Drosophila melanogaster: one gene and its partners. Changing the gene in region 3 together with the main gene of any one other region gives a genetic interaction. Each region holds a gene or a part of one and is shown on either strand. Other genes may lie near its edges.

Region 1 (6,361 bases), on a different chromosome or scaffold from region 3:
TCATCAATTCGCAGCTACACAGGAAAATGCATATTTAGTCTTACATCGACTTATTCACTTATTTTATATGCAGCGAAGTGAAGAGTTTAATTGAAGCGCACAAGTTATATTATTCATGTTAGATTTATACAACATTTTATTTCTGGACACTTTTTGGTAGAATTACAGATGTAAATTATTCCTTAACTTAGGTATATTATTCCTTTTTATAAAGAGGAATTATTTTTTGTTCTGTATGACGGAAAAACTGACATGGTGGAAAACCACGGCGAGTGAAAAAGAGAGGCAGCACATCTGTGGGAAGCTTTTTCTGCGAATTTCATTAATAAAACTGTCGAAAGTGTTGGGCATCAGGTGCTGTACCCCCCGCTGCCCCCTTAACAGGTGAAAACGGAACAATCAAACGAAACTTTTGATTTGGTATTTTTGTTTTTAATAAAAATTCAAAAGATTTACAGCCCTCCACGGCAAGTATTTCCACTTAAGATGCTGTAAGAGCAGAAGAATCGAGCCACTACGTCTTCCATTCATAAGAACGCGTAATTAAGAATTTTTCCAAATAAAATGGGAGGCGCGGTAGCGTTGGTAGAGTTGGAAATGGGATAATAATAAGTTTATTGATTTGGGAAATGCCATAAACCGGATGTTTATCCACCACGCACAACAACCTCATCATTGCTACAATCATCAGAGTTATATGTACGTAGAAGGGAACTGATTGCAAAGCAACGTGCGAAATGTGCAGGGATTATCGGGGTTTAGGAGCCGGAAGATGCGCGATTGCCATTTCACAGTTTTCCCCTCTAAACTGCAATTTTCCCAGGACCAGAAATTTCAAAATCCTGGCTAGCAAGTTGGTAAGTCAATCCAGCGCTTACCAAGTTCCGGAATTTCCACTGGCCATTCTACGTTCCACTGCCATCCAAAGTCAAAACATGCGGCTTGTGTTCGGTCGCACATTATTATGCTGGGAAAATCACCAAAGACGGAGGCTGGATTTATTTGGACAAAATGACTTTGCAAATGAGATTCGGTGGCTATGTCCGTCGACCACCGAAGATGTCAATATTGTCATGGTTCCAGGTTTAGCGACTACGGCCTATGCAAACAGCAGCCTTTTGGCCAAGACAGCCGGACGACTGACTACCTGCTGTGTTTCCGTGGGCCATGTAGGTGTGCATAGTTTCTCTTAATTTCCAACACCTCCGCCACTCGAGCTCACAACGTGACCCATGGCCCCGGGTCGGGATTTGGTCCCGGTTTGTCCACTGCCCAACCTGCCAAGTGCCGCATGTAGTCATAATCGATGTGATTAGGCCGTGATGCCCGTGCAACAATCGGGGCCTAACCCTTGGCCCCACGGACGAGTAATCAATAATTCCCAGTCGACTTGGTCGGGCAGCTCGGTGACGTATTTGGACAACCACTGACAGCCAAGCGGACCAAAAGAAACAACCAGAAAATGGGTAAGAATTCCCTCAGGGGCATTTTCAGATACTCTGCGAACTCAGAAATATTTTGAAAATTAAACTCAATAATAGTTACGATTTTAGGTAAAAGAATTAAATTTACCAGCAAATATATCTAAGAATCAGATTAGGCCAATTATTAACATGAAAATATTACAGCGATTTAATAAATAACATTATAAATTATATATCATTACCACAATTATAATAGTAATTACTCACCTTTTAGTTTGAAAATAACACACTTTTCCCCATTTGAAATACCTAATCCACTCTCCTGAATGATTCAATATACCCCGCGAACCACAGGGCAGAGATCCGAAACGACTTGGGCCAGAAAAAACTGGATGACTTGGCGGGAAATGATTGTTGGCGAGCCCCGGGGCGAGTTCGAGAAGGAAATGAGCTGCACTTAAATGCATGCGAGAAAACCACTCGATGCCAACAAGTGGATAAGAAGCCACCACACAAATGATGCCCAAACGAACTATCAATGTCAGTGAATTGGCAAAAAATTTAAACTCAATTTGTATGCAGGCCTGCGGAGCTGGAATTTCAAATGTGGAGGAAGATGGGGTCCGGCGACGAGGAAACCCTTTAGCCCCGGCTGACACACCTCAACGATGCAGCAAGCTGAAGTGGGTCCACCGCATCCAGGTCTGTCGCGGCATTAATGTGCCATCGGAGAGTGTGCGCTCGCTGAACACATAGTCGGATTGGTACCAATGTTTTGGGATCGAGATCGGGTTGGGAGTCGGGAGATGGGAGCTCCTAAGCCGCTAAAGCATGCGTAACAATGGCCAACACGAAATCTTAATGATCGCTAAGCCAAGGAGGAGTCGATGACCATGCACTTCTCCGAATGCCCAGAAGAGCTGGCGAGTTCCATTCATTGATTCATTCAGGTCGGGCCCTAAATGAAGTGCTCCAAGTGTTTTCAACGCACGCAGGATCGATTTTCATGTTTATTATTTCATTTTTCGTACATGTGTGTATGCCATCGCATATATGGCTTCCTCTGCCTCTTAACTCTAAATACAATACAATACAATACAAAGCGCTGGCGAATGAGTTTCGGAACATAATTAGAATTTGAAGCCAACAGTTGTTAATCAATACTAATAATCAATATACAGGGTGCGTAATAATAAAAGTAGTACACATAAAATATAAAATTGTTTTTAAAGCAAATATAACAGATGCACGTGCCGGTGAATACTCCTCAAAACACTATATCTTCGTCTACGAGTCGCAGTTTTCGATTTCAGCCAGTATTGGAAGTTGGATTAAGGATTAAAGCCATAATCTCGCCTAAGGTCCAAAGGATTGGGTGGGGAATTACGGGGTTTAGGGGCCTGCATGCGGCAACTCTTGTCTTTTCACAACAATTTACTAGTTTGGTTTGAATCATTCGGAGATGCCGGAAGGCTCTAATTCTTGAACTGAAAAACGAGTATCAAGATGATGGCCAGCAGCACGGCGCTCAGGATGCCCACCAAAATAAGCTTCTTCTTGCGCACTTTGTTCTAATAAACAACATATTTAAATTATTTAAAATAATAACCTTGTAGGGGCGGCACTTACCCTGTAAGAGCTCGCCTTGCGCAGATTTTCCGTGCCCTGCGAGACAAAAATGCTAGTCTGTTCCACCTGCGACTCGATGGAGTCCACCGTCAGTCCCTGCTCGTAGACCAGGGCGCCAAGCTTCTTGTATATCTCGTTCACGCCCACGATGTTGTTCTCCAACTCCCGTATGACCTGCTCCTGTTCCTCGAGGGCCTGCAGGTCCGCCTGCTCCTCCATCTGAGTCTGCATCTGTTGCTGGTTTGATTTGCGATTGAAGAAGTTGTCCTCGAAGAAGGAGTTGTTGTCCTGCTGGCTGGCGCTACTGTTGGAGCTGCCGGTACGCGATGAGCCGGGTGGACGGGCGATGTTGTAGCTATCTCCGCGCGCCTGCCGCAACGCCGTCTTCTCTATGTCCGCCGTCTTGCGCTGAACAGACTAAAAATACCAATGATAAACAATCAGCATGACTCACAAAACCATTTGCTTATCTGGGAGAACAAAAACAAACCTGGAAGGCGGTCAGTGCCGCCGTGAACTCGTCCACGAGCCTATCCCGCTGGATCTTCAGGTGGCGCTCCTTGCACTTGTCCACCTCGTTGATTTGATTGTTTGTGTCGGTCACCAGCTGGTTGGTGTAGGTCATTATTTGGTGGCTGTGGAGTAAGGGATTGTTATTTTTATCGTGCGTTATACATTGATTTGATTTGTGAATCACACTGTGCTGATACGTTTAAACTTTCAAAACCAATGACTGACTACAATGTTATTTTGCTGTTGGTTTATGTGGTCGGTTGATGTGCGCAAAATGTATTAAAAGGCTGTATTGGCTTAAGAAGATTTTTAGACATTGTGAGTAAACACCCAATAGAGATCTTCACTATGTCTTTAGAATTTATGATTTGTCTGAGAGATATTCGAATAATCGATGTATATCTGCAATGGGTTCTATCTATGGGGACAGTTTAAATTCCAAACGAAGAGATCGTAATGATAATCATCTTACAGCTGCTTCTTGAGCTCCGGAGAATCTTGGGGCGTGTTCAGTTGATTGACCATGCGCTGCATCGTGGACACTGCGAAAGAGACAGAAACCTAGATTAGTCATAGGCGAAAGTTGGCAAGTGCTTCGACGCCACTCACCATTCTGCTGCACCTTCTGGATGCTGGTGGCTATAATCTGGGCCAGCCTTTGGAAATCTATTTCGCTTAGGCCACCTCCTCCCCCGCCGCTTAGACCATTCTCCATATGCTGTAAGTCCATGCTTTCGTAGGCAGACACTTTGATGACCTTCGAGTTATCGCTGGAGACAAGTTGTTCCTGGAGAGACAGACAATCGAATTAGCCCCGTGGCCCACTTATATCACATTCGCTTTTATGCGTCTCAGCCAGGTTCTTGATTCTATATTCTATATTCGTGCTTGTTTGTTAGTTTGTCTGTTTGTCGGAATGTTTGCAATTCGCATTCCCTTTGTTTGCTGCACAGCCACACACCTTTTGTGGTTGCCCTAGCTGTCGTTGGTGACCTTCGCCGGTGACCTTGATCTTAGAGCATTTCCTTCGCACTTTTTACGCGTTTCGCAATCTGAAATTTGTTGATTTAAGTAGGCGGAATGTTCGCAAAACTGAAATTTTAGCTAGGTTTTTACAACAATTGGAATGGAACTGCCAACTTGTGAGAAAGTCACTTTCGACTAATACCCAAAAGTGCCTTAGCGCGTGATGCGTTTAGCATCACTTCCTTGCTACGCTTTACAGCACTTCAATTATATCGATATCTGGCGCGGCATTCAAATAGCAGATATATAGAACTGCATTTTAATTATATTCTTCCCCCTATATTTTGTCTCGAAAATGTATATAAGTCCTGAGATTTATTATTGAAAATCGATCCATGTCTAAAATGAACTGCTTAATGTTATTATTCAAAATTATAAATTATTATTTTGCACTTTTTCTCCAAAATTAAAATGTTAGATTAGGAAAATGTCGTATAGAAATGAAAATGACCAACAATGATGCCTTATAAAACAAATAAGTCGAATTTTAGACAGTTTTCCTTCCGTTCAATAAATATGTTCATACCAAATTTAATAATAATGTAGGTATACAAAACTATTTTGCTTACCCAGAATGTTATTCAAAACTTAAAATTTAACATTGTACAACTCAGGGTATTTGAAACCTGTTTAGCAGAAATAAAATTGAAGATTATTACTTTTCTTAAAAAAGTCAAATAACTGGTAGACAAAATAAGTGCAACTCGTTTATAAAAAAAATCAAAAGCAACTTAATTCAAATTAACGTTACAAATTAGTGTATTGGAGATATTTATCAGTATCCGGTGTTTGGCACGGTTAATGAACTTTAGATCGCAGAATGAATTAGGCTGCTTCGATGCATCCACTAATTACATCATCTCCTACTGCGATGCAAGATATTATGCAAATGACCAATGCAACGAACCTGATTTTTGGAGAACATCATTTTAATCTAAGCTGTGCTGGCTGCATAATTTGAATAAGGGCATAAATGCCTTTCTTTCATCCCGAAATTCCGGTTGGTAGGTGTATTTAGAAGCTTTATAATACAGGGACGGGTTTTAATTTATTGTCTCAGTGTTTTTTTATAATTCGACTCGCATTTTCGGTCCCTGTCTTACCGGGCTCGTATAAATAAGCCTCCAACTGCGAAATGCGGCTTAGTCGATCCGTAGACTTCGTAACGCCCCGACCAGTCGAAAGTTAGTTCATCAAAATTCCGTGCGATGCGTGCTCTCCGGTTCTTTGCGGCTCTTGCCCTCCAACTCACGGCCTGTAGCAGCCAGTACAAATATGGGCCAGGTGCGTAACGTCAAGACCGAGATCAGAAACGGGCCCAAAAGACCCGAAATGAATAAATGAAAAACGAGTGAGAGTGTGCCAGGTCGAAAGCAAACTCAAAACATATGCAGAATTGATTAATCAAGTGCTAAACGGAGTATAAAAGGCGTCAGCAAAATACTCGTAAATTGAATTAAATATTTGACACCCGCTAACAGAGCTGTCAAACATCACTTTTTCCGAAGGAGAATGTTTTAACGAAAGTGGATATAAGACTAATACTTTAAAATTTAAATTTGAATTAATTTTAATGCTTAATTTCCATAGGTTTCTTTCGGTGTTTTATTTATGTGCTATCTTCTGAAAGCAATTTCCCTTTTTAATGATTAATTCGAAAGTGGAGTGGAAAACAATGGCAATTGTGTCTGTGCTTTTGTTTTGTAAAACGAAACATGTGCTTGGAATTGATAAATTCTTGAGGTTGTACTTGAAATGTGTATGCATAT
Region 2 (5,912 bases), on a different chromosome or scaffold from region 3:
GGTAAGGGTCTAATGAGCACCTACTGGCTGACCTGCAAGGACGGACCGGTTAGGGCTCGCGAGGAGATCTCGTGGCGGGCGGACATACAGCCCGTGTTTCTTGACCACCTGAAGCTGCATCCGCCAACCGACTACAAGCTGCCAAAGCGGAAATGAGATGCAACCAACTGCAAGTTTTCCGGCTAGGCCAAATAATGCTTATCCTGGCCATAAATTCGAGGTGCTTTTCTTTTGGATGTGCATGCATTAGTGTCCCGCTCTCTCAATCTCTCTATTTAAATATCTAAGTATCTTTCCTTTCTATCAAAAAGTTGAAGTTACACGGTGCACCAAGTGTAGATAAAATATACAACATAAAATTCGTCTTAATTTTAAATTCGCTTCAAAATATAATAATTAAATCACTTCCTTGAAAAAAAGTGGAAGTGCAACTGATGCATCGTGTACAACAACTTTAAACGCTTCAATGGCCAATCGTCTTTTTACATGTAATACACAGTGCAAATCACAAGCATGCGGCCAAAATACAGACTTATGTTAATAAAAAATATGCGAGAAATACATTGTTACCATTCGTTTTCCAACCACAGTGATGGGACATATATAAAGAAACCTAAAATCTTTTCTTTCACTTCTTTAGTTATAAAATAAGGTTATAATTTATTTTTTATCAAATTCGGTGTTAGTATTAATACAACAATTTTTTTGAGTGTTCAATGGTGAGTTTTATTAAACCGTACAACGATATGTATCGAATGTAAATCAGCTGGAAGTATGACCGCCCTGCGAAGTGCGATAGTGTGACCGCAGCCACTAAATTCGAACTGTGCCTGTGTGCCTGCGTGTGGGCGTGTGTGTGTGTGTGGGAAGTTACAGAGAGAACAAAGTAAAATTTGAAAAGTTAAAGCTGCAGCTGCTGAGGGCATAGCCAAAATTGGACGAATCACTGCCATGGCCAAGGTTATATCGCAGGACACCTTCGACGATGTTGTGAAGGAGAACGTTGTGGAGTTCTCGATGACTCCTTCGGAGGCGAAAGAAGAGACCATCAAGCAATTCGAGGCACAGGTAAGTAATGTCGACATAGTCATCCAGTAGATTCACTTTAATGAAATGATTGCAGGGCATCAACCTGGCCAACATTATCAAGGACCTGTCCGTCAATCCGCAAACCGGCCAACCTGTCATCAACGAAACGGTGGACAAGATCAAGGAGCACATTGGCCAAAAACTGGAGGAAACAACGGAGCTGCTGGAACAGCTGGCCACCTTGGATGCTGAGTGCAAAAAGTCGCTAGCCCATAGGGTTCTAGCCGGCAAAAATGGAGCCCACGATGCCCTGATCACCCTGTTGGAGGAGACGCTCTCTGCTGAGTCACCCAACGAATCCGTGTTAAAAAAGTCCTTGGAAGCCATCAACAGCCTGACCCACAAGCAGCCGGATCTGTTTGATGCCGAGGCGATGGCCGTGGTTCTCAAGTTACTGGCCCTCAAAGTGGAGAGTGAAGAAGTCACCCTGTTGACTCTTCAATGGCTGCAGAAGGCCTGCATCATGCATGAAATGAACCGCCAGAATATCATGAATACCTCCGCACTCAAACTCATGAAGCCCCTTTTAGGGAAAGGGAAGGACCGCCTGGTGCGTGAACTGACCGCCGTCTTCCGCTTCCTAGTGCTGGATGATGACATTCGCGTTGAGTTTGGATGCGCCCACGAGCACGCCCGCCAAATAGCAGGCGAGGTGCTCATCACCTTGGTGGAACTTTTGCCGGCCTATCAGGATCCTAATGTTCTGGCTGATCTTCTGCTGACCATTGGAACACTGGCTGTGCGTCAGGAACTCTGTACAGCTATCGACGAGGCTGGTGGACTGAAGTCCGTCTTCGAGATCATGAGTTCGAATTTGGATGAGGTGCGTCTAAATAGAGAGGCCTTAAAGTTGCTACGTGCCCTGGCTGGCCAAGACTCCGTGAAGTCACATATAGTACAGCAGGGCGTGGCTCCTATAATAAAGCAATTGCTAGAGACGCACCAGTCCAATGAAAACATCGTTGCCGCCGCTTTGGCCTGCGTGACTACTCTGACACTCCGAGTGCAGGAACACAGTGCCGCCTTTTTCGATACCGGCATCGCCGAAGTAATCGTGGAGGCTCTTCGCGCCCATCCCAAACACAAGATAGTCCAGCGAAACGGAGCGTGGGCCATCCGCAATATGGTGTCACGGTCGCGGAACCAGTGTGAAACCTGGATCTCCTTCGGCGTTGAGGATCTACTAAATATGGCAATGAAGGAGCACCCCAGTGTGGAGCAGGACATCAAGGCGGCGTTGCGCGACCTCGGCTGTAGTGTCCACTTGCGCGAGGAATGGACGGGCACGGCGGAGAAAAAAATTGCCGCCTAATCGCACACACATATGCCTTTTGTATTTTTATATATTTACTGCTAAATTATTACTATTGCTTAATTCATGCATTGGCTAACTAACAAAATCGGCAATCCTCAATACCAATCGCGTGCTAATACCCAACTGGGGCAGTCTCTTATGATCACATGGCTGTGGACTTATTTGCCCAGGTTAAAGTTGCGCAGCGAGCCGGCTTTAAGACGCTGGTTGACATTCCGGGAAAGGGCGGTCGAGGATCTGATTGTGGAAAGACCCTCTTCCTCGGCGCGCTGCGCAAAGGGGTCAACCTTCTCAGAACCGCCCATTCCATTGTAGACAAAATTTGAGCCCGTCGTGGCCGTCAACGCAGAACTACTTGAACTTCCCAGCAGCAGTCTTGGCTTCTTGAAGATTGAATACTGGGGGAATATACGGAATTTTTAAATGGTTAAGTGGAATTCGGCAAAATTATTGCGTTTACCTTTTCACTGAGATCACTGCTGGTTTTCCGTATGGTTCCGCTGGTCATAGACACACCGCCACCGACTCCCTTGATGGGCGATATTTTAGACTTGGCCAGCCCAATGTTACCCTTAGTATTAAGAAGATGCGCCAACCCGACGCTGCTGGATTTAATGTTGAGATATGGGGAGGTGGATTCTTCGATGCGCTTAATATTCTCCTTCTGTAGGGCAGCAAAATATTAGTAGCTTATATTTTCGTTTATTCGTGTCTACTCACAACTGTAGGGGAAATAGTGGTACGCCTTTCCTCCCTTTTAAGGGCCAAAATGTTGCTGTTCAGACCACAAGAGGCATTTGGTGAGTCCAAGTAAGCGGTCTTGTTCTCAAAAGCTTGTAGCTGAAAAGATAATAGTATGTTTAATCGAAATTGTGTTAAAGAAGGCTCAGCAAACCTTCTCCTGCGCCTGGTAAAGGTCGCTCTCCAGGTGTGAAACACGCTCTTCCAGCTTGCTGCAATCGAATGAGCACATATCAATTATAAAAACCACGTTTGGAATGTTGTGAGCATACCGCTTTAGTTCGATCTCCTTTCGCAGATCATTCTGCACCACCTTCACTACATTCCTGAGCTCCGTCTTTTTGCTCTCGCATTGTCGCAACTCCCTCTTGAGAGTGGACACCCAGTTGGCTAGGACATGTGGATCAGCCTCGTTCTTGAGCAAGCGGTCGGCATCCGCCGAGCCAGCCGCCAGAATAGCCGATATGCCTTCCATACTCTGGATCTGTGATTTCAATGTTTTGTTTTCCTTGCGCAACCCATCAACGACATGGGCATCACTCTTGAGGACGCCAATTTGCTCGACATAGCTGCTGATGAGAAAATCCTTCTTTTGCACCTTCTGCTCCAAACCGGCTATGGTTTTGCTGCAAATGAGAAATGCATCAGTCTGGTACTTAAGGCAATGTGTATACAAAAGCATACAGGCACTTCTTTTGTGTTTCCTTCAGATCCCGAATCTGCTGTTCATCCTTGTTGCGCTCTTTTTCGACCATTTTCATGGACAACATCGCATTGTCCAGCTGCTCCTGCAGTGAACCAACATCGATGTGGCTCACATCCAAGTTGGCCAGATTGAAATAGACCCTAAATATGTTGCGGGTAGTGCACTTATTCCGGCACTGAGGACAGGTCTTTGATCTGCGAAAGATATTTGATTTTATTGTCGGGAATCAGAAATATCCTTATGCGTTGTTTACCGATCGAGCCATTGATTTAGACAGTTGTGGTGGAACATATGACCACAAACTGTGGCAAAAACCTCGTCGGCCTGGCCAAACAATTCGGCGCATATCACGCAGTTTAAGTTCAACATTTTTGGCACAAATAACTACATAAAAATAGTTATTACAAAAGAACAACAAATAAACGCACGCCGAACAGTTTGCGCGCCCAACGAAACACAGCTGACTGATGGCGATTTTACGATGCTCCAATGAGCGGAATTCACCACACCAGTATTTGTCAAGAATCGATTGTAGACAATAACTGTTAGCTGATAGATATTTCCACGACAAACTAATTGCTAACTAACTTGGCTTAAGTCGAAACAACAAATAATGTTTACAAATACGCTTACTCAGCCACTGAAACTAAAATTCATCCTAAATTTTAGAAAGATATGTATGTGTGGATACTTTTTAAACCCTACTTCTTAAGATATACTGTGGATATAAATTTCATATTTTATTCTGCCAATCCATCTTAAATCCAGCTACTTATGCTCCGTACTTTAGCCCCATGGTGGTCTTATCGATAACAGCGGGAGCACTGTGGCGCTATTTACGAAAGCACACCGTGTGCTTTCGATATCGCGACAATGCTATCTAGAGGTGGAGAAACATCGATGTTTTAAAGAACACAACACATCGATGTTTTTCCACCTCTTTTAAAAGTCGTCAAATAGCAATAATAAATAGGAATAGTTATAAATTTGTGCATTTAATTTCGTTCGTTATTTGCGTTTCAATCGACCGTGGGTCCCAGTGAGCTAACTGCACCTGCACCCAAAGCGGAAGCTGAGCGAAAAGGTGTTTCATTTGGCGTGCGCATTTCGACACCTTTGTCAACGCTGATTCTTATTTGGTGGACCGACGACTCACACACACGCGCGTACCAATATAACAGACACTGAAGTGTGTGTGGAAGGGACAGACAAACAACCGTGCGATAACAACAACAAACGGCAGTGATCGCGGCGAGAAATGGAAATGGCCAACAACATGGTCAGCAGCAGCAACAGTGGCGGCGGTGGCAGCAGCAACACCACCTCCTACGGCAACAACAGCTACAACAACAGTGCGGTGGACAGTGGTCACAGTTCGCACAGTGGTGTCGGTAGCGGGGGCGGTGGTGAGGGAACGGGAGCGCGCCTCCGGGATGTTTGTACCATCCTGAACACTGGCCCCGCCGCCTATCAAAATCAAACAGGTGGCTATGCCTACGACCACATCATCGCCCTGATGAGGAACCTTGATCTGCAGGACGATGGCATTGTGCTGAACTCCAAGATCAAGACCATCGAAACGGACTTCTGCAACATAGTGCGCGACGAGTCTATGCTTTGGTATGTGTGCCGATCTCTACCGTTTGGTTGGTTCGCTCATTGATGATTAATCATATCATAAGTAGTGTGTTTATTTGCCACCTCTTTTCGCATATACATATGGATGTATGTAAATACCCGGCGTAGGTACAGTGCGGTGCGATAGCATATGGGCAAGGCGAGCTCCCAAGCCCATCAAAGCCAGCCATGTGATAACAAGACTTAATGCATGCAGTACATATCTGCCTGGCGAAGACCGATCCTTATTGTAATATTTATGACATTCCATTACAAGTAGCATGAGTAATTCGTTAAATTTGGGAGCTTGTGGCGTTCGCCCATAGGTTACAGCATTCTATAAGTTATTCCAATAATGAAATGCTTGAAATGCAGAAACCGAATTACTAATCAAGTTCAAACGTTAATTTGTTTTTACGCGTTCAAGAACCCTTGGGTTCTTAA
Region 3 (9,560 bases):
TTGCCAGAGAATTTCGGAACTGGTAATTTTGGCAGTGGTATCCGTACTTCCTCTACATGTGTTGTTATTGTAGAGTTAGCTGATTCGTTGTGCGTCACTGTGCCTGGATAAATTCGTTTCTTTTCTTCGGCCACGAAACAGTAAACTTCCATGCCCAGGTCTTCGAATTGGCTGATTGTATTTTGTTGCTTATACACACTTTCTTCGTAGTCTGCCATGCATATAAGTGTGTGATGCGCCTGATGAAATTCTTTGTTAAACTCGTCGATTTGATTCAAACGTTTTTCGAAATATATTTCCGTTTTCCGCGCACTCGAGTCTTTTTTCACATTACTGAACAAGCGCTTCAAAGACTCAATGCGGTCAGTTTGAACTCGCACCAGTTGATCAAATTTCGACATTGTTTATACTGACGTTGCTCCACTGTATGTAATGCACAAATGCTCGTATGTTATCGGTGTTCTTCTTTGACGTCTTGTTTTTTGAGTTGGCAGAGATTCCGGCAAATCTAACGGAATCGAAGGGCAACGGGACTTAGCTCTGTCGTGATGAGAGCGAGCGCGAATGTTTGCGTATACTGCTCTGTCGTGATGAGAGCGAGCGCGATAGAAAACGTAGGCACGGTGATTTATCTGGATGAAGCCGACCACGAAGATAAAATTGCCAAACAGCTTTTAGCAATTATTAATTATGATTCTTATGAGCAAGGTTCCCCTCATGGGCCACCAATGAATAGTTGTGATGCCTCACTGCTTTGACATCATTGTAATGGGGTTCGCAAATAAGAATCATATATACACTATTTAACTTCATTTATTTTTTCATATACAAAAATCACGTCTGATCGCTATGACCGCAAAATTACAAGAGAGAAAGAAAGAATACAGTTCAGTTCAATTAGCATCGATATATAAAATGTTAATCCGCTGTTAAGACAGCTGAAGCACCGGGTGACTCCGCTCATAATCCGTACACACTAGATGAGTACCGGGTATCTGATAGTCGCGGAATTCCATATACGACTATATCTGTACGACTATAGCATTCTCTCTTGTTAAACATAAAATTGAATAAACTTACCAATCAGTTACACTACCAATTTAAATAAAAGTCAACTCGATTTATCTTTAATTTTAATTTGAATCATTCGTTTTTATTTATTTTTTTTAGAAAAAAATTAATTATATTATATTCTTTGGCTTGGGCGATTTGAGTTGCGTCAAAGCTCTTTGGTGCAACCGAAAGCCTAGGTACTGCAAGTGCAAGCGCTTTGTTTAGAAAACAACCAGGACTATATTCGGAGAATTACTTACCGTGGGTCGTCCAGGGGCGATGTCAAGTTCGGCAGCATCGAGAAGAAGATGTCCGGGAAGCTGGGCCCGAACATCGCTCCGTCCAGCTGTGTATCAGACTTCGGATGAAAGTTGCTTTTACACCGTGGGCAGTGGATCTTGACGGTTGACTTGCCCCATACAGCGCTGACGCCCACTGGCAGGGTGTTCTGCCTATCACAGGAGATATTGGGACACGATCCAAAATCTCCTCGCATATATTTTCGGTGCATAGCAATCAGGCCACGCTCTGACCTGATGTATCGGGCGTGAATCATGCCGTACCACTTCTTTTCATCGCCGTACAACAAGCCAGAGGAACTATCGATCACCGGCTTCAGGATCACGTCCAGTATCTCGCTGAAATACTCCAAGCCCATCTGGTTGAACGTATCCTGCACGTAGTCGGTGGGCACGCGGCAGAGGAACTGGTTGCCCTTGATCCCGAGGAACCAATCGATCCAGCTGCTGTTGTTGTTCTGGCTACAAGATTTTACTGTGACTTGCTATAATTTCTATAGGAAAAACCTAGTTACTTACGAGCTCGACATGTTGCCAGTTCACTTGTTCAGAGAAATATGATTTGTAGACTTCAAAGTCATCGTCTTCTTCTTTGAGTTTTTGACACGTGCTAAAAGGCCTGCCAGGACTCTGTCATGCCCTTCCAGATGGGAACTCTAGACTCGAAAATTCGTTTTATGTTCGGCTGGCATAATAAGTATTAGTTCTTTTATTTCATAATATGTTATGCATACGATATTTTATGTGTCAGTTGGGCCAAAAACAAATCAAATGTCATTGTTTCGACAAGGCAGCATCGGCTGATACTATTTATAAATAGTATCCAAATCAAAATCCTATAAATTCAGTAATTTTTTAACACTTAAATTAATTAATAAACTTACCATTCAGTTATATTACCACTTAACTATTTAAATAAAACACAACTCGGTTTATTTTTTATAATTTTTATTTGAATTTTTCGTTTTTATTTATTTTTCTTAGAAAAAAATTAATTAAAATTAAAGAAAACTGAATTTTTATTTTCGCTTACTCTTTGATTTATGGTTGCTTTTCGGTTGCTATTGTTTTTTGGATTATCCTTTAGTGATTTCGGTGACAAACATTTAATTACTGTACACAATTTTTGTTGAGAACTGCACTTGAAATTTTCACGCAATCAAGCCACTACTTTTGTTTTTCTTTTTGTATTTTTTTTGTATAAATATATAGTGTATGCATTCATTGTATTTTGATCATGTATCATATTTTTGTATATTTTTTATATATATATTTTTTATTTTTTTTTTTTTCAAAAATTACTAATAGCTTAAAGGCTTCATTGTTTGGTTAAAAAAAATTGTTTTCGAGTAAAAACTATTTATCGTTTATCAAAGGGACTCTGACACAACCCAGGCAAAGCTCAAGTATCAATCGAAATGGTGAACTCTTAGTTAAGAAAAGTAAAGTCTACAAGTTGGACGATCACATCTTAAATTTTCTGAAACACTGAAAATGATACAATCAAAATTCTCTATTTTGAATTGACATTTAAGCCGAGTTTTCAAATGACGAGTTAAAGGAAATCAAAATCCCTTCTTGTTTGCCTTTCCAATTGATTTATCATATCTGATGCTACATGTGTTAATGGTTATGGGTTGGTTATTTCAGTTACACATAGAATTATATACGGCTATATGTATATAGACACCAGAACCCTCGAACAAATCAATAGAAACGACTAAAACCAATTACTGTTTTTTTTTTTTTTTTTTTTTTTCGTTTTTAGTTTGTTTCGGATACATGTATACGTCTTACATAAAGAATGCTTTCGCTATCTCTCCTCCATTTCGCCGATCGCCCCGATCGATTGGTTGAAAAAAATATATATATTAATATTTTATATGTATATCCCGCCCCAGAAGGTTCGAAAAAAAAATGTGTTCTTAAATCGTTTTTTTTTATGTTTGCTTCCTTACTTTTTTCTTATTTTATGTTTTCTTTCGTATGTTTTAGGTTTTTCTGGTTGCTTTTAAAGTATTCAATTTACCCACCCGCCCGTTCATGTCACGCACCCACTTTCTGGAAAAACGCCGATACAACTGACGGATCCGCTTTCTGACTTTCCTCCTGACCTCGGGCGTTCAGTCTTCGACGGCATATTTCTGGGTCCACTCGCGGGCATTGCGAATGGCCTCCGCCTCGTTGACCTTCCACAACTCAGCCACATCGTTGGCCAGCGGATCGTCGGGATTGGGTGCACTGAGCAGTGCCTGAATGGATAGCAATATGGTCCGGATCTGCAGGGCTGGACTCCACTTGTCCTTCAGCACGTCGAGGCAAATGCGGCCCAAACGATCGATGTTCGGATGGTAGATCTTCGTGATGAAGCGCACTTTGGGCGCTGACATTGGATAGTCCTCCGGTAGGAACAGCTCCAGCTTGAACACGCCGCCCTCGAAGGGCGAATCGTTCGGTCCGGTCACGATCACATGGAAGTAACGGGCATTGTTCTCATCGGGAATGGCATTGATCCCAGGCACTGGCTCCTGCATCAAACGTTGAGTCTCCTTGATGATGCGACGTGGCAGGCTGGACATCGTTTAGCTGGTTCCTTTTACGCGGTGAACTGGAAACGCGGGTTGAGTCTGGACCTTCTCGTTGAGCTGCAAACGAGATCGGAGTGAAGTTAACCAATTAAGTAGTTCCTCGGTATCATCCACTATCCACTCAACGTTAATTAAGACTATAAATTAGTATCCCTAATGTTTACAGTCGTGGTTTCAACTGTGAAATTAAACTAATTACTAATTTAAATAAGGGCTCAACTACATGTATCGGTGAAATAGTAGCATTAGTAAATTGGAGTTTCACTTGGTTTTCTTGGGGAAGAGCGTGGCAAGTCAAAGAGAATTTTCCTTTTTGCAGCTCAAGGTCGTTCTTTATGGGGATGCGTGTGTGCAGGGTTGGGTGGATTTTGGTCTGATACGTGGCTTTCACTTTCCCCAAGAAAGTTTTACTACAGAATTTAGCATGCCACAAAGATGTCTCTATGTGGCTAAAAAAAAAAATAAACTAATTCAAAATATGTTGTATATTTAAAGATGTTTTCAAATTGTAGTACTTAATAATATTTATATTGAAGTATATGAACGGAATTCAAAGTTATTAACTTGATTCTGGATATCTAGACTATATTGTAAACCAATATTTTCAATATTTTCTGGATTTATTTCCGTTACACTTTTTGCGAAGTTCAAAATAAATTTCTGCTTGTGTAAGTCAAAGCCCACCCACTATTGCCAACTCCTTTAGCGTGACCTTGCGGCTCCTTTAACTGTTTACATTTCCCAGACACACGGAAAATCAAGTAAAATAAAGAGGAGAAGGGGAAAGAAAGACGCAGATAAACCAGAAACAAAAGGCAATAAATGAATGCCCCAAAATTTCCAGAAATTGTATTGCGAAAGCAACAACAACAGCAACGAAAAACACTCGAAGCAAACAAAAGAAATTGCGTTATTAACGCGAAAACAGCAATAATTTAACCATAATGTGCGGCGTTTCGCTGTTTTACCAACTTATTGATTTCCCTTTTGGGTGACAAATGCACGTAGTTCCGCAGAGGAAGAAGAAGCAGATTGGACAGGAGGAATGCGGAGGGGGAGAAACGGGGTGAACCGCTTGAAAAATCAATAATGTTGGCAATTAAACTACAAAAAAAAAACCAAATAAGATTTTTCTTTTTTACAAGCAACAATTTCGCTTGCATACGCACACACACAGACACAGCGAGTCACGCACCCACGCACACAGACAAAATGCAGACAACGCGCACGAAAAAGACAAAGGCGAAAAGAGAATATGCGGATGGGTGAGACAAAGAGGGCGAGTCAAGAAAAGAAGAAAAGCAAACGCCGCTTTTTTGGCGAATTTAAGTTAATAGAAAAAAACGGCGAATACTTGGTGCGAACGCCGCAATTATTATTTTTCACACACACACACATATATATTCGATTTATCAACTTTTACGGCTTTTTTCTTGCTCTTCTTCGATATTATATTAAATTTTATCTGCTGCCTCTGCTTCTTCTGCTGCTGCTGCTCCTGCTTTTTTTTTGCTGCTGTTGTTGTTGTTGTTCTCACTTTGGTATTTTTTCGGGCATTTACAACATTTTTGGACAAAAACAATGGTTTTTAGATAAAGTATGCAACTTTCGATAAAACACAAACTCACATCGTAACAGCGCCAAGTTATTGCTGAACTTTATTTGCAGTTATGGCCGATAACTTCGTTGGCAAACTGATAAAATTCGATTTTGCAGGCAGCTCCACCACAAAAATTATGAATGTCGAACACACTCGAAAAAAAATGTAGCCGTTTGGTAGTGTGTGTGTGCGTTGCTGTGACTAACGTGCGTCTGTGTGGCGTGCGTGTGAGCGGCAATGTCAAAATGACAGGGTTGCTAGGGTGCCTAGATGTGAATTCAATTTTTTTGCAACACGTTTGCACCTCCTTCTCAGTTTAATTTCAGTACAAATATATCTTTAAATATTTTCTTTGCTACTCATCTTGTTTTTTATCCCATTTTTCCATTTTTGCGCAGGTAATTTTATTGTTCGCACTAGTAAAAACGCATTTTCGGTGACAACTCTAGCGCTTAGCGGCTGTCAAATAGGACAGTGTTTCATAGCAATCAGCTCTTCGGCACGCTACAACCCAAGGTTTTGGAGCGCTTAGCTTTTTTCTGTCAGAAATTTTGATTGGAAAATTGGCGGGACAAATCCAGTTGAAAGAAACACGAAAGAGAAGTAACAAAAAGTGTAAGTTCCCGGGAATAAGCAATAAATTTAGTCGGGATTTATTTAATCGACGACTTTGATCTTTGTTTTCGTTGCTTAAAACCAATGCTTTGCATTTTTAATATTCATCAGATGTAACCTAACTTCATACCTAAGGTAAATACATCTAAAATTCTCGAGAAATTTGGTCATTTATGTCAGCACTTTATAAAGCGATATTTGAACTGCATATTAGCACTTATTAATATGGTTTTATGTTCTTTTTAACATCATAACCATGTGTTTCCCAAAAACTTTTATCACAATAAGACTTATAATAAAAAAAAATTGCATGCAAATTAAAATAAATTTTATTTCTTTAGTATTATTCGATAGCAAATTAATGATTAAAAAAATGATTGTACATAGGTTTCGTTATTTAACAAGTCTAAAAGGAGCCGGTACAGGATTCCAATCAGACACGTGCAAAAACATAAACCCAAAAAGCGAGATAGCAACAACAACAAATTGTCAATTTACTGTAATCAACATTTATGCGTTTTTAAAAAGAGAGGCTGTCCGAACACACACACACAACTGCGCACTTGCACTCACACCCACACACCTCGAATGCAATGCCCAATGGACGCACAAGAAGCCGAAATGAGCAACAACAAAAACCACAAGGCGGAAGGCAGAAAACTAAAATACAAAAAAAAACAAGCGAAACCTCTCGCTCGCACACACACATGCTATTTACCATTCGTATTCGTTCGATTGCATAGGCCGGTTGCATGTGTGTGTGCGAGTGTGAGATAAAAACAAACACCAACTGCAAAAGGGCAACAAAACCAACAACAGCAAGACAGCCATAAGCATTACACACACCGCACACAAACACACACACACACGTGCGATCTCCGTTTTTAGGCTGGCCAAACCAACAACAACGACTGTAGTCCAGCCCACAAGTGAGAGCGAGAGAGAGCAACCTGCCTCTTTTCTGCTTTGCTGTTTATCTGTTTTTCTGCTGCAACTGCGCTGCTTTTCCCTACGCAGTGCACGTGTGTGTGTGTGTGTGTGAAAGTGTGTGGGTTGGTGCGAGAGGGGATGAAAGAGCAAGAGAGGGCGGAACGGGGGCGACCTTTATTCGCTCTTGAGCTGCAGCTGTTTTTAGTGCCTTCCTCTATGTATTTTTACGCTCGATATGGCCAAATTCTAACCGCTACAGCTGATCTTCAAAGGAATGTGATAGAAAGTGAGGGGGGAAAGGGGAGAAGAAATTGATAGAGAAGACGAGGTGAAGAGTGTAAGAAGACATTCAAATCGAAGGACGTTTTAAAGTTCTGCTACAAAGTGAAGATTTAGTCGAAAAAGAAAGACTAGTATAGCCACTTCTTTAGTGGTAGAATATAATGAAATTCTCTTGGTTTTCGTACAATAAGTCATTGAAATAATAGATGTATCTATGTACATATGTACATACATATATCGGAATAGAAAACCTCAATGCATTTTTTCCTCTTTCAGAACACCGAGAAATGATAGAAAAATTAACTAAAATGGAGAGCGATTGCTTTACTATGAAAATGTTGCAAAATCGACAAGTCTATAACTTAATTTTGCAATTGAATGGGATTTTATCATAATCATATCAGAGAGGAAATATAATTTGGTAAGTAGTATTATTACTTAAACAACTCACTGCTCCTTCAGTACTATTCGTATTCAATGTTTTCCCATTTTAATGGCCGACGATTTTCTATCATAGTTACAAAAACATGGCGTAGTTCACTAGCTCTTTTTCCTGACCTGTAATTCCCGGTGGTGGGTTGCGTTTTATAAAATTCGCATGGTCGCTTGGTTATGGTTTATCCATTTCTTACATTAATTTAAAAAGAAAATATTTAACATGAACACAATATCTTTTTATATAAGCTTTAAGTTAGTTGAAGTCCAACAAAATAGTTTTAGGATGTATTCGCTTTTATTCAATCGTAAATAACCATTTATTAAGCTTACAGTTTATTCCATATATCAAAACAATATTAATATTATTAAATTTGATTATGTTAAAAAAATGCAAGTTAACAACTAATTAAATCAAAAACGATGTAAAGAAAGACTTTTATTTAAAAATAAGTCATTTGTTTTAAATGCTGCAAAAGTTAAATTGATTGCAAAAATAATCAAGAGCTTAAAGTACCGAGTAAGTTGGGGAACGTAAAAAATGGTATTTATTTGTGTTGGGATTTTTTGTTTGTAATATTCAAAACGCAAAACTTTGACAGCACTTCAGCTGGGGGGAAATAAATCTCAGTATTGTTTGGTAATTAGCACCTGAGTTCCCCGCCTCCCCCCCCCCTCATTTCCTTCGAAACTTTCTTAGAATTTCTTATTAGCAATTTTTTTTTCATCCTGACAGAGAAACGCGCAACATTCGCTTTAGCAGCATGTTGCCAAAGGAAGGAACTTTAGCAACATCTCCAATCAGAATTTGTTCTGCTTCTCTTTCGCCTGCACTTGCAAACAAATGCATTTTAAAAGAGCGTAGTGCTCTTGCTTTCGAGTCGAGAGGCCTACTCTTGAGTCCAAAAACGCAACGAACAAAACGAGCAAAACAAATAATGCGAAAACACAAACAAAAAGAAGCGGCGCTTTCCTTTTGCCTTCTTTTTGCCATTTTTCTTGTTCTGTTTTGTTTGTTGCTGTCGAAGGGCAGCTAAGCAAAAGTGGGCGGCGGGCTGGGCGAAAGGGGGCGGCACGCATAAATAAAAACAACAGCAAAACTGAGGCAAAAGTGTCCATTAGACTCGTTGTTGTTGTTGTTGTTGTTGTTGTTGTAATTTACAAGTGTCCATTCGCAAAAAATCAGAATACCTTGAGGTTCAAAATATATCATATGGCTTCCGCTTGTTTTTAGCCAGAAACGTGAAAATATTTCATTTGCTTCTCCAGGAAGTAATTTAAAAGTATAAACATCAAAACTATTTACAGTAAATAATTTACCATTCTATGGATTCATCGCTTCTAAATAAATAAATAAAAGTAAATAATTTACACAGGTTTTTGAGTTTTTCGAATTTTGTTGCATGCTTTGCGGCGCTAATACGTGACATTTGAAAATCCTGCAGATTTCTCATAGAAAATGTTCAATTTTCTAAGAACTACATTATTCTGATTCTGTTCTGTAATTGTTGGTGTCATATAAGCTTATATAAGCAGATCAAATCTCTTGATGTTTCTCAGCCAGATGTTGAAGGGTATTCGAGACTCCAATGAATGTCCTGCCAAATCCGTGCGCCTCGTGTTATTCTTGTTGCTTCTGTTGCTGTTTTTTTGTTTGGGGTCGCGTTCGTCGTTTTTGTGAGTGCAACAGACTTGGCTTAGAGTGGATGGGTGGTTGGTTGGTTGGGTGGCCTAGTGCGGTGGCGGGGTGTTGGATGG

What was found. Genes that interact genetically often act in the same process or in processes that back each other up.
Region 1: of ben (region 3) and Syx7, changing one suppresses a phenotype caused by changing the other (phenotypic suppression), as found in Drosophila melanogaster (one study listed by BioGRID).
Region 2: of ben (region 3) and nopo, changing one suppresses a phenotype caused by changing the other (phenotypic suppression), as found in Drosophila melanogaster (one study listed by BioGRID).

The regions. Positions count from the first base shown.
Region 1 is NT_037436.4:21,444,190-21,450,550, reverse strand, and holds Syx7 (syntaxin 7), read right to left. Parts: upstream 4,718-6,361; 5' UTR 4,528-4,717; intron 4,391-4,527; 5' UTR 4,297-4,390; coding exon 4,176-4,296; intron 4,109-4,175; coding exon 4,039-4,108; intron 3,689-4,038; coding exon 3,544-3,688; intron 3,471-3,543; coding exon 3,054-3,470; intron 2,996-3,053; coding exon 2,900-2,995; 3' UTR 2,423-2,899; downstream 1-2,422. Other genes in the region: Alp1 (alkaline phosphatase 1), read left to right, coding at 5,801-5,876.
Region 2 is NT_033778.4:18,179,030-18,184,941, reverse strand, and holds nopo (no poles), read right to left. Parts: upstream 4,326-5,912; 5' UTR 4,221-4,325; coding exon 4,105-4,220; intron 4,046-4,104; coding exon 3,830-4,045; intron 3,772-3,829; coding exon 3,418-3,771; intron 3,358-3,417; coding exon 3,300-3,357; intron 3,245-3,299; coding exon 3,125-3,244; intron 3,069-3,124; coding exon 2,865-3,068; intron 2,803-2,864; coding exon 2,563-2,802; 3' UTR 2,423-2,562; downstream 1-2,422. Other genes in the region: CG33958 (uncharacterized protein), read left to right, coding at 1-156; CG5721 (uncharacterized protein), read left to right, coding at 952-1,068, 1,124-2,401; CG5726 (uncharacterized protein), read left to right, coding at 5,110-5,471.
Region 3 is NC_004354.4:13,992,532-14,002,091, reverse strand, and holds ben (bendless), read right to left. Parts: upstream 5,748-9,560; 5' UTR 5,569-5,747; intron 5,477-5,568; exon of another isoform or gene 5,295-5,476; intron 3,998-5,294; 5' UTR 3,932-3,997; coding exon 3,476-3,931; 3' UTR 2,287-3,475; downstream 1-2,286. Other genes in the region: Ste12DOR (stellate 12D orphon), read right to left, coding at 1,247-1,253, 1,314-1,814, 1,872-1,882. UniProt on the Drosophila melanogaster protein: Catalyzes the covalent attachment of ubiquitin to other proteins.